Canis lupus familiaris: one gene and its partners. The protein of the gene in region 1 interacts with the protein of each later gene in a pairwise test. Links are inferred from orthologs where the notes say so. Each region holds a gene or a part of one and is shown in the gene's direction. Other genes may lie near its edges. The genes, in order: UBE2W, RNF26 and RNF111.

Region 1 (3,648 bases):
TTGCTTCTCAGTGTGGCCCCATCATCTTTGCCACCATTAATCCTTTTAAAAAAATCATTTTCTACTCCTATCCCCTTTTTAAAATTTTATCTATTTTTTTTTAATTAATTTTTTAGAGAGAGAATGCGTGCATGAGTGGTAGGAAGGAGCAGAGGAAGAGAGAGAATCTTAAACAGGCTCCACACTAGGTTTGGAGGGGCTTGATTTCAGGACCCTGAGATCATGACTTGAGCTGAAATGGAGAGTTGGATGCTTAACTGACTGAGGCATCCAGGCACCCCAGTTTCCCTTTTTTGAAATTTATTTATTTCATTTATTTTTAAGATTTATTTATTTGCGAGAGAGAGAGAGAGAGAGAGAGAGAGCATAAGCAGGGGGAGGGGCAGAGGGAAAGGGAGAGGGAGAAAAGACTCCTTCCCCTCCTTTTTTTTTTTTTTTTAAAGCGCAAGAGATAGGGGGTCCTGGCTGGCTCAGTTGATAGAGCATGTGACTCTTGATCTCGGGGTTGTGAGTTCAAGCTCCTTGCTGGGTGTAGAGCTTACTTTAAATAAATAAACAAGAGATAAGTGTACAGGTTATAATTTAAAAGAGATTTGTAGGGATCCCTGGGTGGCGCAGCGGTTTGGCGCCTGCCTTTGGCCCAGGGCGCGATCCTGGAGACCCGGGATCGAATCCCACGTCGGGCTCCCGGTGCATGGAGCCTGCTTCTCCCTCTGCGTATGTCTCTGCCTCTCTCTCTCTCTCTCTGTGTGTGACTATCATAAATAAATAAAAATTTAAAAAAAAAAAAAAAGAGATTTGTATTCATGATTATTATATGTGGAAACAAAGTAAGCTTGTAAAGAGGCCATGGAAATCTCTTCTGAGTTTCATTAAATACCTGAAACAGACAAAGGAAAGACAGTATAGAGCCTTGAGTAGCTATCAGAGTAAGTGGACTAATGTTAGTTTAGCTGCTTTTTCCTTTGGTCTCTAGAACACTGACGAGAAGATAGATCTAACAGCCACAAATTCTCTAGTCATTTTTGATACCTACTTCGTCCATTGCTTTTAAAGTGATATCAGATGGGCAGTTCATTAGTTTGATATTATCTATATAAAATCTTTTCAGTCATTGTGGAAATACTGTTTTGGAAAAATAAGACAGCATAAATTGAGTATCAAGAGTGCAGGATTTGGTGTCAGCACACTTGAGTAGGGTTTTCATTTTGTGTTCTTAGACCTGGATTAAAATTTGGCTCTGTCCTTTGCTAGTTGCCTGACTTTGATCTAGTTACTTAACCTTTGAGCGTCAGAGAAGGATATAGGGCAAGGGGTGTTGATACCAACTCTAATTGTTGGGAGAATGAAGTGCACTGTTACACATGAATGACTCCTATCCCAATGCCTGGCTTAAAGGAAGTCTTCAGTCTTCCCTTTTCTTTCTCACCCCAATTCTTCTTATCTGAAGTTTTTTTGTTTTTGTTTTTTTTCCTATTCTAGGTGGATCGTAGACATGGAAGGTGCACCAGGTACCTTATATGAAGGGGAAAAATTTCAGCTTCTATTTAAGTTTAGTAGTCGATATCCTTTTGACTCTCCTCAGGTAACTGCCATGTTTTTAACATTTTATTGTATTTTTAGATTTTAGCAAAATACTAAATTAGTGACTTTTGACTAAATACAAATTTATAAAGAAATTCATTATAATTATATGAATAGATTTGTTCCTTTATCTGTAATATAATCAAGATCTTTATGAACATTTTCCTTTATTGAGATTAGGGTTTGCTACTTTTGTGCTTTAAGAAATTAACATTGTTTTTTATGTATAAATGTTAGCAGAAAAGGGGATGGAAAATCTAACTCAGGCCTATGGGTTGTGGGAGAATATAGCATTTTGGAATAACTGGAGGCACTTATTCCTAGATAAGATGATAGAATGATCATGTGATAAGTCAGGTGCTTTGTTGAAAGGAACAGTTCTTTGATTTTGCATTGACATGCTATACTTACAGTCTTTTAGTACTGTAAAGATAGAATATATTACCAAATGTTAAATATCTAAACATAAGCCCCAAATCTGATCATTATAATTTGAGGCACAGTTAGTTTAGGTAAATGGTTAATACTCAGACAAGGGATAATGGTGGTTGAGGAACTTTTTTGGGAGCTGTTTAACTGTGGTGAATGATTAATCTTTGGGAGTTAGAGAAAAGGAGATTCTAGGATGACTTCCAGATTTCTGGCTTGGTAAGATGGGTAAATGAGTTACTGGCAGCAAAATGTTGAGACTTAATGCCAATTCTATCTGGTACTGCTAGATAATGAGGTTCTGGATAATGAAACTTCTCAAGTATCTAAAACTCAACTTGTGAAGTGCTCAAATACTTTTTTTTTTTTGAGAAAAATAATCCGTTGCAACTTTAAATAGAATATAAACAATATCCTTGGCCATGTAGGCATATAGATGGAAGTCAGTTATTGATTGTGCTATAAATAAAAGAGATAATTTTTTAAATAAAGATACAGAATTAAATGGAAATGGACTTGAGTTCAGTTTTTGTGTGAGCAGGAAACTAAGATTAGGAAGCTCATTTTTATCATTTTCATAAAAATTAAAAATAAAACTAAGAGTTATGTGTTATCATGACCTCTAGGCCTTTATAGTAAGCATGTGTAGACTGATAAGAAAGCAAAACAAACATCATCTCTCTAGAAAATGACCTTCACGTTTTATAGCCTTTTTGCTTATCAGCATCATTTAAGATTGTTAATCCTTGAAGGCAGTGGGGTCGCAGGCATTCCCTTGTCACCTTCAGCCTGTTTTTATACTTCAACTAAGTTTGTTGAAGGTATGTGAGGAAAGAATGTGACTCACCAACTCCAAACTGTTGACTTAGGGAGATACTGGAGAAGGCTTACTCTGGGAGCCCACAGATTTTTCATCAGAGGAAAATAATATTTTATAAACATGAACCAAGTCAAAAGTATCCTCTAATCCTCTTAGTATTTAATTTAATTTATTTTTTAAAAAGATTTTATTTATTTATTCATGAGAGACACAGAGAGAGAGAGGCAGAGACCCAGGCAGAGGGAGAAGCAGGCTCCATGCAGGGAGCCCAATGTGGGACTCGATTCTGGGACTCCAGGATCACACCACCTGGGCTGAAGGTGGCGCTAAGCTGCTGAGCCACCGGGGCTGCCCAGTATTTAATTTTAAATCAGATATAGAACTCTTGACACATCATCTGAATTTCATCTCTTAATATTTCTGTAAGTTACAGTGTTCGTAATGGATTCTGTCATCCTTTCTTAAATTCTTTTTTTTTTCCTTCCCTGTTTTGACTTCTGTCCACTTTTTCTAATTCTTCTGATTTTGGTGTTCTCTGGGTTCTTTATTCAGTAGTCCCTTATTCTTCTCACTCTTTTCTCTAAAGTCTTCATCTGTCTTAAACAGCTACCTCCCAGATCTACAGCTCTGTGTACAGCCTCTTCTTTCTGAGGTTTAATTTCACACCCTTGTTGGATATAGCTACTTGGGTATCTCCAGATGTCTCAAATTTAACACATCTAAACTCAATCTTTTCCAGTAACAAAATAAGTAAAAAAAAATTTTTCTTGAGTTATTGTCCCACCTATCTGCTTGCATTGAAATTCTTCCCTTTC
Region 2 (4,332 bases), on another chromosome or scaffold:
AGTGGGCTCCCTGCAGGAGCCCGATATGGGACTCCATCCTGGAACTCCAGAATCAGGTCCTGAGCTGAAGGCAGATGTCAATCGATGAGCCACCCAGGCGTCCCAATAACACAAATCTTTATGTTATTCTCCCTTGGTTAGAGAGATCAGCATTTTGTGGTTAGAGCTGAGATTGGGTTGGGAGTAGAGACAGACTATGCTGTAAAATCAAAAAGCAAAATAGGAAGTTGGAGTCTGATGGGCTAGAAAAAGGGAGGGGAAATCCCAAGAGGATGAGGACAAGGAAGAGGAAGGGGAAGAGGAAAGAGAAAGGGAAAACCCATCAGAAAACATTAAGTTGGGGCCTGACAGGTGTGAGAAAGAGGCTGGGGCAAAACCAGTGGAGTTTTAGGAACTGCAGCCCTTGCTCTGCACCATGCTATGACCCCTGGTGGGACCTCCACTTAGGCTTGCTGCCCTACTCAGCTTGCTATTAGGGGGGCTGTGGGGAGAGAGGGATTCAGGCAGTGTTTGGGGTTGGGTGAGTGAATCCGGACAAACGTTTTTTAGGTGTCCAAGCCTGGGGGAGGACAAAACATTCACATAAGCAGGAAATTAAAGCAATGGTGACCCGAGGGAAGGATAAGACTCCCAAGTATCCTTGGCATTACTAGAGAACACCAGATTTCCCAACAGATTTGGGATGGGGTCTCAAATACATTTGGAATATTAAAGGAAAGGATAACTTATTGAGGAACCTGGAGCCGCTCAGGTGTACATATCTAACTAGAATGCTCAAGTAAACAAATTAATAGGGGCTAGTGTAGGAGGGTGAGCTATTTCTGGTCTGTGGCCTCCTTGTCATAATGAGATAATCTCCTGAAGATGCTGAGAAAAGCTGATGACGCTGGAGGAAACAGTTTGGAATAGCAGCTTGGGAATCCCCTGTAACAACGTGTTTCCCCTTGGCAGCGGCTTGGGGGCAGGCACACCCTGAAACATTTTTGGTGTTTGGGTCTCCATTCTATTTGCCGGAGCTCGATAAACGCGACTGAATGAATGAATGAATGAATGAGTAGTGGAGGGCGAGGCCGCGAGTCTGAGCAGGGTGTGGAGGCGGTCATTCGAGAGCCCAGCTCAGAGAGAGAGTAACCTTCAACTCTCACCTAAAAGGTTCACGACCCGGGGACCAGTAGCAAGAACAGCACAGGTATCCGGTCCCAGTGCAAACAAACAAATCCTGCTTTGCTAGGGGGCGGGGCTAGGAGGAGGGCCTAGTCCGCTTCTGCCCTTCAACTGACCAATCGCTGCCTCAAGGGGGCGGGGATTTCAATCTGTCTCCGCCCTTCCCCTTGGAGAGTAAATACGTTCGGGCGCCGTTCAAACGGCCCAATGAATGCTCGAGGTTTCCTGCGGCTGCTCCTCAACGATTGGTCGGAGCTCGTCGTCCCGCCCTCCCTATCACGCTTTTTGCCCCGCCCCTTCGCACACAAGATGGCGGCGCCCAGCGGAGTAGAGGCCGCGCTTGGGGTTTGCTGAGGCTGACTCCCTTTCCCACGACCCCTTTGGACGCAAAGAGTCGCGAGCCCAGAGGACGGGGGCCGGGCGGGGACAGGGGTACCTGCGTAGCTGGACCGCGAGCCCGCGCCCAGCCTGCGCCGCCCCCACCCGGCCCCGGCCCGACACCATCCGTTCCCGGTCTCCTCTCGGTCTGACCCACTGCCCGGCCGTGGTTCGCCGCCACCTGGCCTCCAAAGCTGAGCTCCCTCCTCCGGCCCGGGCTCACCTCCACTTTAGAGATGTTTGGCTTCTTCCCTCCCAGACAGCCTGGCGTCCAAACCGGGACTCCTGGACCGGCGTCTGGCCCCCTTTTCCCTCCACTGAGACTCCACCTCGCTCTCACCCGTTTCTTGCTCAGATTCTTGCTTCTCTCTGGCTTGGAGACTGCTCACTTCCCTTCCAGATTGACCCCTGACGCCCCCAAACATTAGCAGCCTTGACACCCGCCCTCAACCTGGAGCCAGCTTTCCTTTCGGATTAACCTCCACAGCCCTATCATGGAGGCTGTGTACCTGATAGTGAATGGGGTGGGCCTTGTGCTGGACCTGCTGACCTTGGTGTTGGACCTCAACTTCCTGCTGGTGTCCTCCCTCCTGGCTTCCCTGGCCTGGCTGCTGGCCTTCATCTACAACCTGCCACACACGGTACTGACTAGTCTTTTGCACTTGGGCCGCGGAGTCCTGCTTTCGTTGCTGGCCTTGATCGAAGCCTTGGTCCGTTTCACCTTTGGGGGCTTGCAGGCCTTGTGTACTTTGCTGTACAGCTGCTACTCTGGCCTGGAGAGCTTAAAGCTCCTGGGGCACCTGGCCTCTCACGGGGCACTGAGGAGCCGGGAGATCCTGCACCGGGGGGTGCTCAATGTGGTCTCCAGTGGTCATGCTTTGCTGCGCCAGGCCTGTGACATCTGTGCCATTGCCATGAGCCTCGTGGCCTATGTGATCAACAGCCTGGTCAACATCTGCCTCATAGGCACTCAGAACCTTTTCTCCCTAATGCTGGCCCTGTGGGATGCAGTGATGGGGCCGCTGTGGAGGATGACGGACGTTGTAGCTGCCTTCCTAGCCCACATTTCCAGCAGTGCCGTGGCCATGGCCATCCTCCTCTGGACCCCCTGCCAGCTAGCACTGGAGCTCCTAGCGTCAGCTGCCCGCCTCCTGACCAACTTCGTGCTCGTCAATGTCACCGGCCTGGTGCTGCTGGCTTGCGTGCTGGCAGTGATGGTGACCGTGTTGCACCCGGACCTCACCCTGAGACTGGCCACCCGGGCACTCAGTCAGCTCCATGCCCGGCCATCTTATCACCGGCTCCGAGAGGATGTCGTGCGGCTGTCTCGCCTAGCCCTGGACTTGGAGGCCTGGCGTCGAGTCTGGAGCCGCAGCCTGCAGCTGGCCACCTGGCCAAACCGGGGAGGGGCGCCTGGGGCCCCTCAGGGTGGCCCTAGGAGGGTGCCCCCAGCCAGGACCTGGCGACAGGACACTCTTCCTGAAGCAGGGCCCAGATCAGAGGCAGAAGAGGAGGAAGAGGTCAGGATGGCCAGAGCAACAGCTGCCCGTGGCCGGGAGAGGCTCAACGAGGAGGAGTCTGTAGCTGGGCAAGACCCGTGGAAGTTGCTCAAGGAGCAAGAGGAGCGGAAAAAGTGTGTCATCTGCCAGGACCAGAGCAAGACGGTGCTGCTTCTGCCCTGCCGGCACCTGTGCCTGTGCCAGGCTTGCACTGAGATCCTGATGCGTCACCCCGTCTACCACCGCAACTGCCCACTCTGCCGCCGGGGCATTCTGCAGACCCTCAATGTCTACCTCTGAAGACTCCTTCCCTGCCAGCCCACTTTTTCATGCTCCATGAAGCCACCTGCGCTAGGACAGCTTTAACACCTGACCTCCTGGTTCCTGGCCTGTATCCCCTCCTGCCCCCATGGCTGTCATGCCAAGCCTCCAGGCCATATCTCCAGGACATTGAGATAGGATACTCTGGAAGACTATGAGCTGGGTGGGGCAGGGTAACAGCTTCTCCTTACCCAGTGCGTCCCGGTGATGCCGGAGGTGGTGAGTGTGTCACTATGCAAGGCCCCGAGGCTGTTGGGGACTCCCCTCCAGCTTGCCGGGGCCCATCCAGATGCCAATCTCTGGGGCTCCCCCTCTACTTCTGGTTTTTCTGTTGAGGATTTGCAAGTCCTCTCCCTGACTCTTCCCCATTCCCTCCCCAGCTTCAGCAGCCACAACACATCACTGTCATTTGGATGTTTTGGTAACTCAAGGGCCTTGAAATGAACTTGAACCTTTGCTTTCACTCGGAGCACCTGTGTGCACTGGTAGGCCTAGGGGATAGTATCTCTCAGGTGCCTTGAGAGTTACCATTTCTGTCCATCTTGATCTTATGAGACTCCCTCCCAACCAGATCCAACAGCTAGGATCAAGAGTTTACCCCTTGGGGTGAGATGGGTGTCTGCACCTGGCTTTGGGACCACATTACCCTCTGGCACCCCAGCACCACTGGGAGCCTCAGGAGGGATACCAGATTTCCACTCCTACCCCTTTCATTCCCACATCACAGAGAACAATAGTATTTCCCCTCTGTCTCTCCCTGACATCGGGGAGAAGCAGACTGTACACATTTATTTCACTAGGGTCCAAATACAGAAGGGGCCAGCCTAGGGGTATGCAGCTCCCTGATGGGTCTGTCTGGCCATGTTTCTGGTGAATAAATTTCTGTTGACAGCTCTGATGGCCTCTGTGTGCATCCTAACAGGGCTGAGCAGTTGGTCAGCAGTAAGTGCACCCTAACTGATGTGCAGCC
Region 3 (3,648 bases), on another chromosome or scaffold:
TCAGCGAATTTAGATTCTCATTAGAGAAAGAATAGTGTGAAGAATACAACCATGGGGAAGAGAAGCTATATGTATATATTTTTTATTTATTTGACAGAGTGTGCTTGCATACAAGTGCACAACCAGGGGGAGCTGCAGAGGGAGGAGGGAGAAGCAGACTGTCTGCTGAGCAGGGAGCCAAACACGGGGCTTGATCCCAGGACTGGGATCATGACCTGAGCTGAAGGCAGTTGCTCAACTGACTGAGCCACCCAGGTGCCCCGAAGAGAAGCTATATTTATACTAGTTAATTATTTTTAGCAATCTAATACAGTAACCATCTAGATGTACAAAAAATATTTAATTACTACTTTCAGGATACTGGGAGAAAAAGTGTCTAGTCAAAGTCTTTTGAATTCTAGTCTTTTAATCTATTTTTACTATAATAGGTTTTAAAGAAATTGTTAGGTTTTAACCAAATATGTTGCTGGAGATAGGAAGATTATACAGCAAGGTAAGTCTTTGGTTAATAGAAGTTTTCAAGTAGGCTTATGTTCAGGTAGGTTTGTGATCTTCACTTCTAAAAGTTGGGTATGTGGTAGAGGTATCAGAGAAAAATATTGTAAAAGAACAGTAAAATTACTTATTGTAGCCATTTTATATCTTGGTATATCAGGAAAAGGTATGCTATTAGTGTTCTCAGTGGAATCTGAAACTCTTCAGTTAATAATAAAACACATTAACTTTCTTTTAAATCTCTAATTATGTCTTCTAGGCCTTCCTTAAAGTTTCCCATGTCTCAATGGACTCCTGAATATAACAAGCTCTATACCTTAAAAGTGGATATGAAGAGTGAGATTCCTTCTGATGCGCAAAAGACACAGGAGAGTCTGAAAGGGATCCTCTTGCATCCAGAGCCCATTGGGGCAGCCAAAAGTTTTCCTGCGGGAGTTGAGATGATTAACAGTAAAGTGGGAAATGAATTCTCTCATTTGTGTGATGATTCTCAAAAACAAGAGAAGGACATGAATGGTAACCAACAAGAGCAAGAAAAAAGTGTTGTTGTGAGGAAAAAACGCAAAAGCCAGCAGGCTGGCCCTTCTTACATGCAAAATTGTGTTAAAGAGAACCAGGGAATATTAGGATTGAGGCAACATCTAGAAACACCAAGCGATGAAGATAATGATTCCTCTTTTAGTGACTGTCTTTCTTCTCCTTCATCTAGTCTGCATTTTGGAGATTCTGATACTGTGACTTCGGATGAGGATAAAGAAGTCTCTGTAAGACATTCCCAGGCAATTTTGAGCGCTAAAGGTAGAACTCATAGTGCACGGTCCCAGAAGTGGCCTCGGACAGAGACAGAATCTGTTTCAGGATTGTTAATGAAAAGACCCTGTTTTCATAGCAGTTCATTAAGGAGACTTCCATGCAGAAAGAGATTTGTAAAAAATAATTCCTCACAGAGGACACAGAAACAAAAAGAGAGAATATTGATGCAGAGAAAAAAAAGAGAAGTGTTAGCCCGAAGAAAATATGCATTGCTCCCCAGTTCTAGTAGTTCCAGTGAGAATGACCTCAGCAGCGAATCCTCTTCCAGCTCATCAACTGAAGGTGAAGAAGATTTGTTTGTTTCTACCAGTGAAAACCACCAAAACAATCCAACTGTTCCCTCAGGTAAAGATGTTTCTTAAGTTGAGCAAAACATGAAAGCATTGTGTTTGTGCTTAATTTTCTTCTACATTTTAGTGATTTTATTGCTTTTAGAAGGAATATGAGGTTCAATTTACTTTTATTTTTAAGCCATATGAACAAATTACCAACTGTAGAATCAAACCATGACTCCAATTCTAAGATCCAGATTTTTGTATTTTATACTTTTTTGGATAGCTCTGTGATGGATATCTTTCACATTCTACGAGAGTAAAAACACTAAAAAAAAATTACTTAATATTGTTTTTCCTTTAAGTACGCTATTTTTTTTTAAAAGATTTATTTATTTATTCATGAGAGGCAAAGACACAGGGAGAGGGAGAAGCACACTTCATGCAGGGAGCCTGACATCGGTCGGACTCCTTCCCAGGTCTCCAGGATCACGCCCTGGGCTGAAGGTGGCACTAAACCGCTGAGCCACCCAGGCTGCCCTAAGTATTCTATTCTTATTGTTTACTAATTACCTTGTCATGATCTTTGTAATTGAAAAATAATTTCAAGTATTTAAGAGATGCCTTTATTCTAATACTAGAACTTTTAGTTTTGACAGTGCTCAGTAGAGCACATGATTGATCAGTTAAAATTGAATTGATAAGGATCAGTTTGAGTGCACTCTCCCCTCCTCACAGTAAATATTATATTTAGCTAGAATAAGATTATGTGCAGTCTCTGAAGTATAAGTATGTTACATATATTACCACTTTACATTTACAAATTTGCTGTAATTTAAAGGAAGTTGATGAAGTGAGCATTGAGGAGTAAAGTCTGAACTGAGGGAAAAGGTTAATTTCTTATGAAAGAATGGGGCATTAAGGAGAGCTTTTTCGAGGGCTACAATCATGGTTTTTAATACTGACACAAAGGTTTCCCAGTCTTTGCCTGATGTCCTGCTTGTGCCATTTTCCCCTCTTTCTTTTCTCCTTCTGTATAGGTTACTTCTTTTTCCAAGACTCCTTTCCTCTTTTTATTTTTCTATCTTTGCCAGAACTCCAAAACTATAACTTTGATCTTTAGTCTTAGCCATGATCAGTTCATTTTTTTTTTTTAACTTCCTCAAATATTTGTTTTAAAGAGTTCATTGAGAGCCCCCAAGGTTGGGAGGTGGTTACAACAGCCATTCTCTGAGGTTTCTTGAGATACAGGGAAGTGAGAATAGGAATTGTCTTGCTTAGTTGCCGCATTTCACATTTTCCTCAGGTGGTTAGAATGTGAAGACTTGTTTGGGGAAGAGGGAGCAGCAGAGCCCAATTTCTGCTTGAAATTAATGAGGCAGGATGGTTGGAGACGTGAAGCAGAAGTTCCAAGGAGCTGGTATTTGTAAGAGGCATGAGAATAGAGGTAATGTAGGTCAGTATCAGTGCCTGTTTCTAGGAAGAAAGGAGTTCATATACTCCCAAGTATTCAAGATAAATGCAAACTCTGTAATTCATTTTGAAATCTTATTTAATACTGTAGTATGTGGTTTTTGCTATCTTTCTTGGAAGAATTGCATTTTTTCAACTACATATAATATTTTGAGACACTTAAGAGTAATGTGTGTCTCTAGAAATACAAACCCAAATGTTAAAACAGATTCTTTTGATTTTTTTCTGGTTTTTAGACCAGTGTTCTGTTTTAAACTAATTTGTTTTTTTTAAAATAATGGTTTAAGAGTAACATTCACATAGTGTGCAGTTTTAAAAGTACCAAGAATGTTTAAAATTAAAAAAACGTTTCCCACTTCTTCTTAGGTCCCAGTTTTATTACCTAGAAGTAGTTAGTTTCTTCTCTCCTTCAGAAAATGTGGAACATATATAAGGGTAAATAAATAATGGGGGTTTAAAAACTACTAATGTGTGTAGTTATAGCCTCGTTTGAAAAAAATGGTTGCATAATATTTCCTTTGTATGGATGTTCCATAATTTATTTAGCCAGGTTTTGTTGATGGATGTTTGCTGCATTGAACTACCTTGTACACAC

What was found.
Region 2: the proteins of UBE2W (region 1) and RNF26 interact in a two-hybrid assay, tested with the Homo sapiens proteins (2 studies listed by BioGRID and IntAct). The link is inferred for Canis lupus familiaris from reciprocal best matches to the Homo sapiens genes UBE2W and RNF26.
Region 3: the proteins of UBE2W (region 1) and RNF111 interact in a two-hybrid assay, tested with the Homo sapiens proteins (2 studies listed by BioGRID and IntAct). The link is inferred for Canis lupus familiaris from reciprocal best matches to the Homo sapiens genes UBE2W and RNF111.

The regions. Positions count from the first base shown.
Region 1 is NC_049250.1:22,845,491-22,849,138, reverse strand, and holds part of UBE2W (ubiquitin-conjugating enzyme E2 W), read left to right. Parts: intron 1-1,482; coding exon 1,483-1,585; intron 1,586-3,648. UniProt on the Homo sapiens protein: Accepts ubiquitin from the E1 complex and catalyzes its covalent attachment to other proteins.
Region 2 is NC_049226.1:14,590,633-14,594,964, reverse strand, and holds RNF26 (E3 ubiquitin-protein ligase RNF26), read left to right. Parts: upstream 1-1,449; 5' UTR 1,450-2,036; coding exon 2,037-3,341; 3' UTR 3,342-4,257; downstream 4,258-4,332. UniProt on the Homo sapiens protein: E3 ubiquitin-protein ligase that plays a key role in endosome organization by retaining vesicles in the perinuclear cloud.
Region 3 is NC_049251.1:24,295,939-24,299,586, forward strand, and holds part of RNF111 (E3 ubiquitin-protein ligase Arkadia), read left to right. Parts: intron 1-754; 5' UTR 755-773; coding exon 774-1,653; intron 1,654-3,648. UniProt on the Homo sapiens protein: E3 ubiquitin-protein ligase. Required for mesoderm patterning during embryonic development. Acts as an enhancer of the transcriptional responses of the SMAD2/SMAD3 effectors, which are activated downstream of BMP.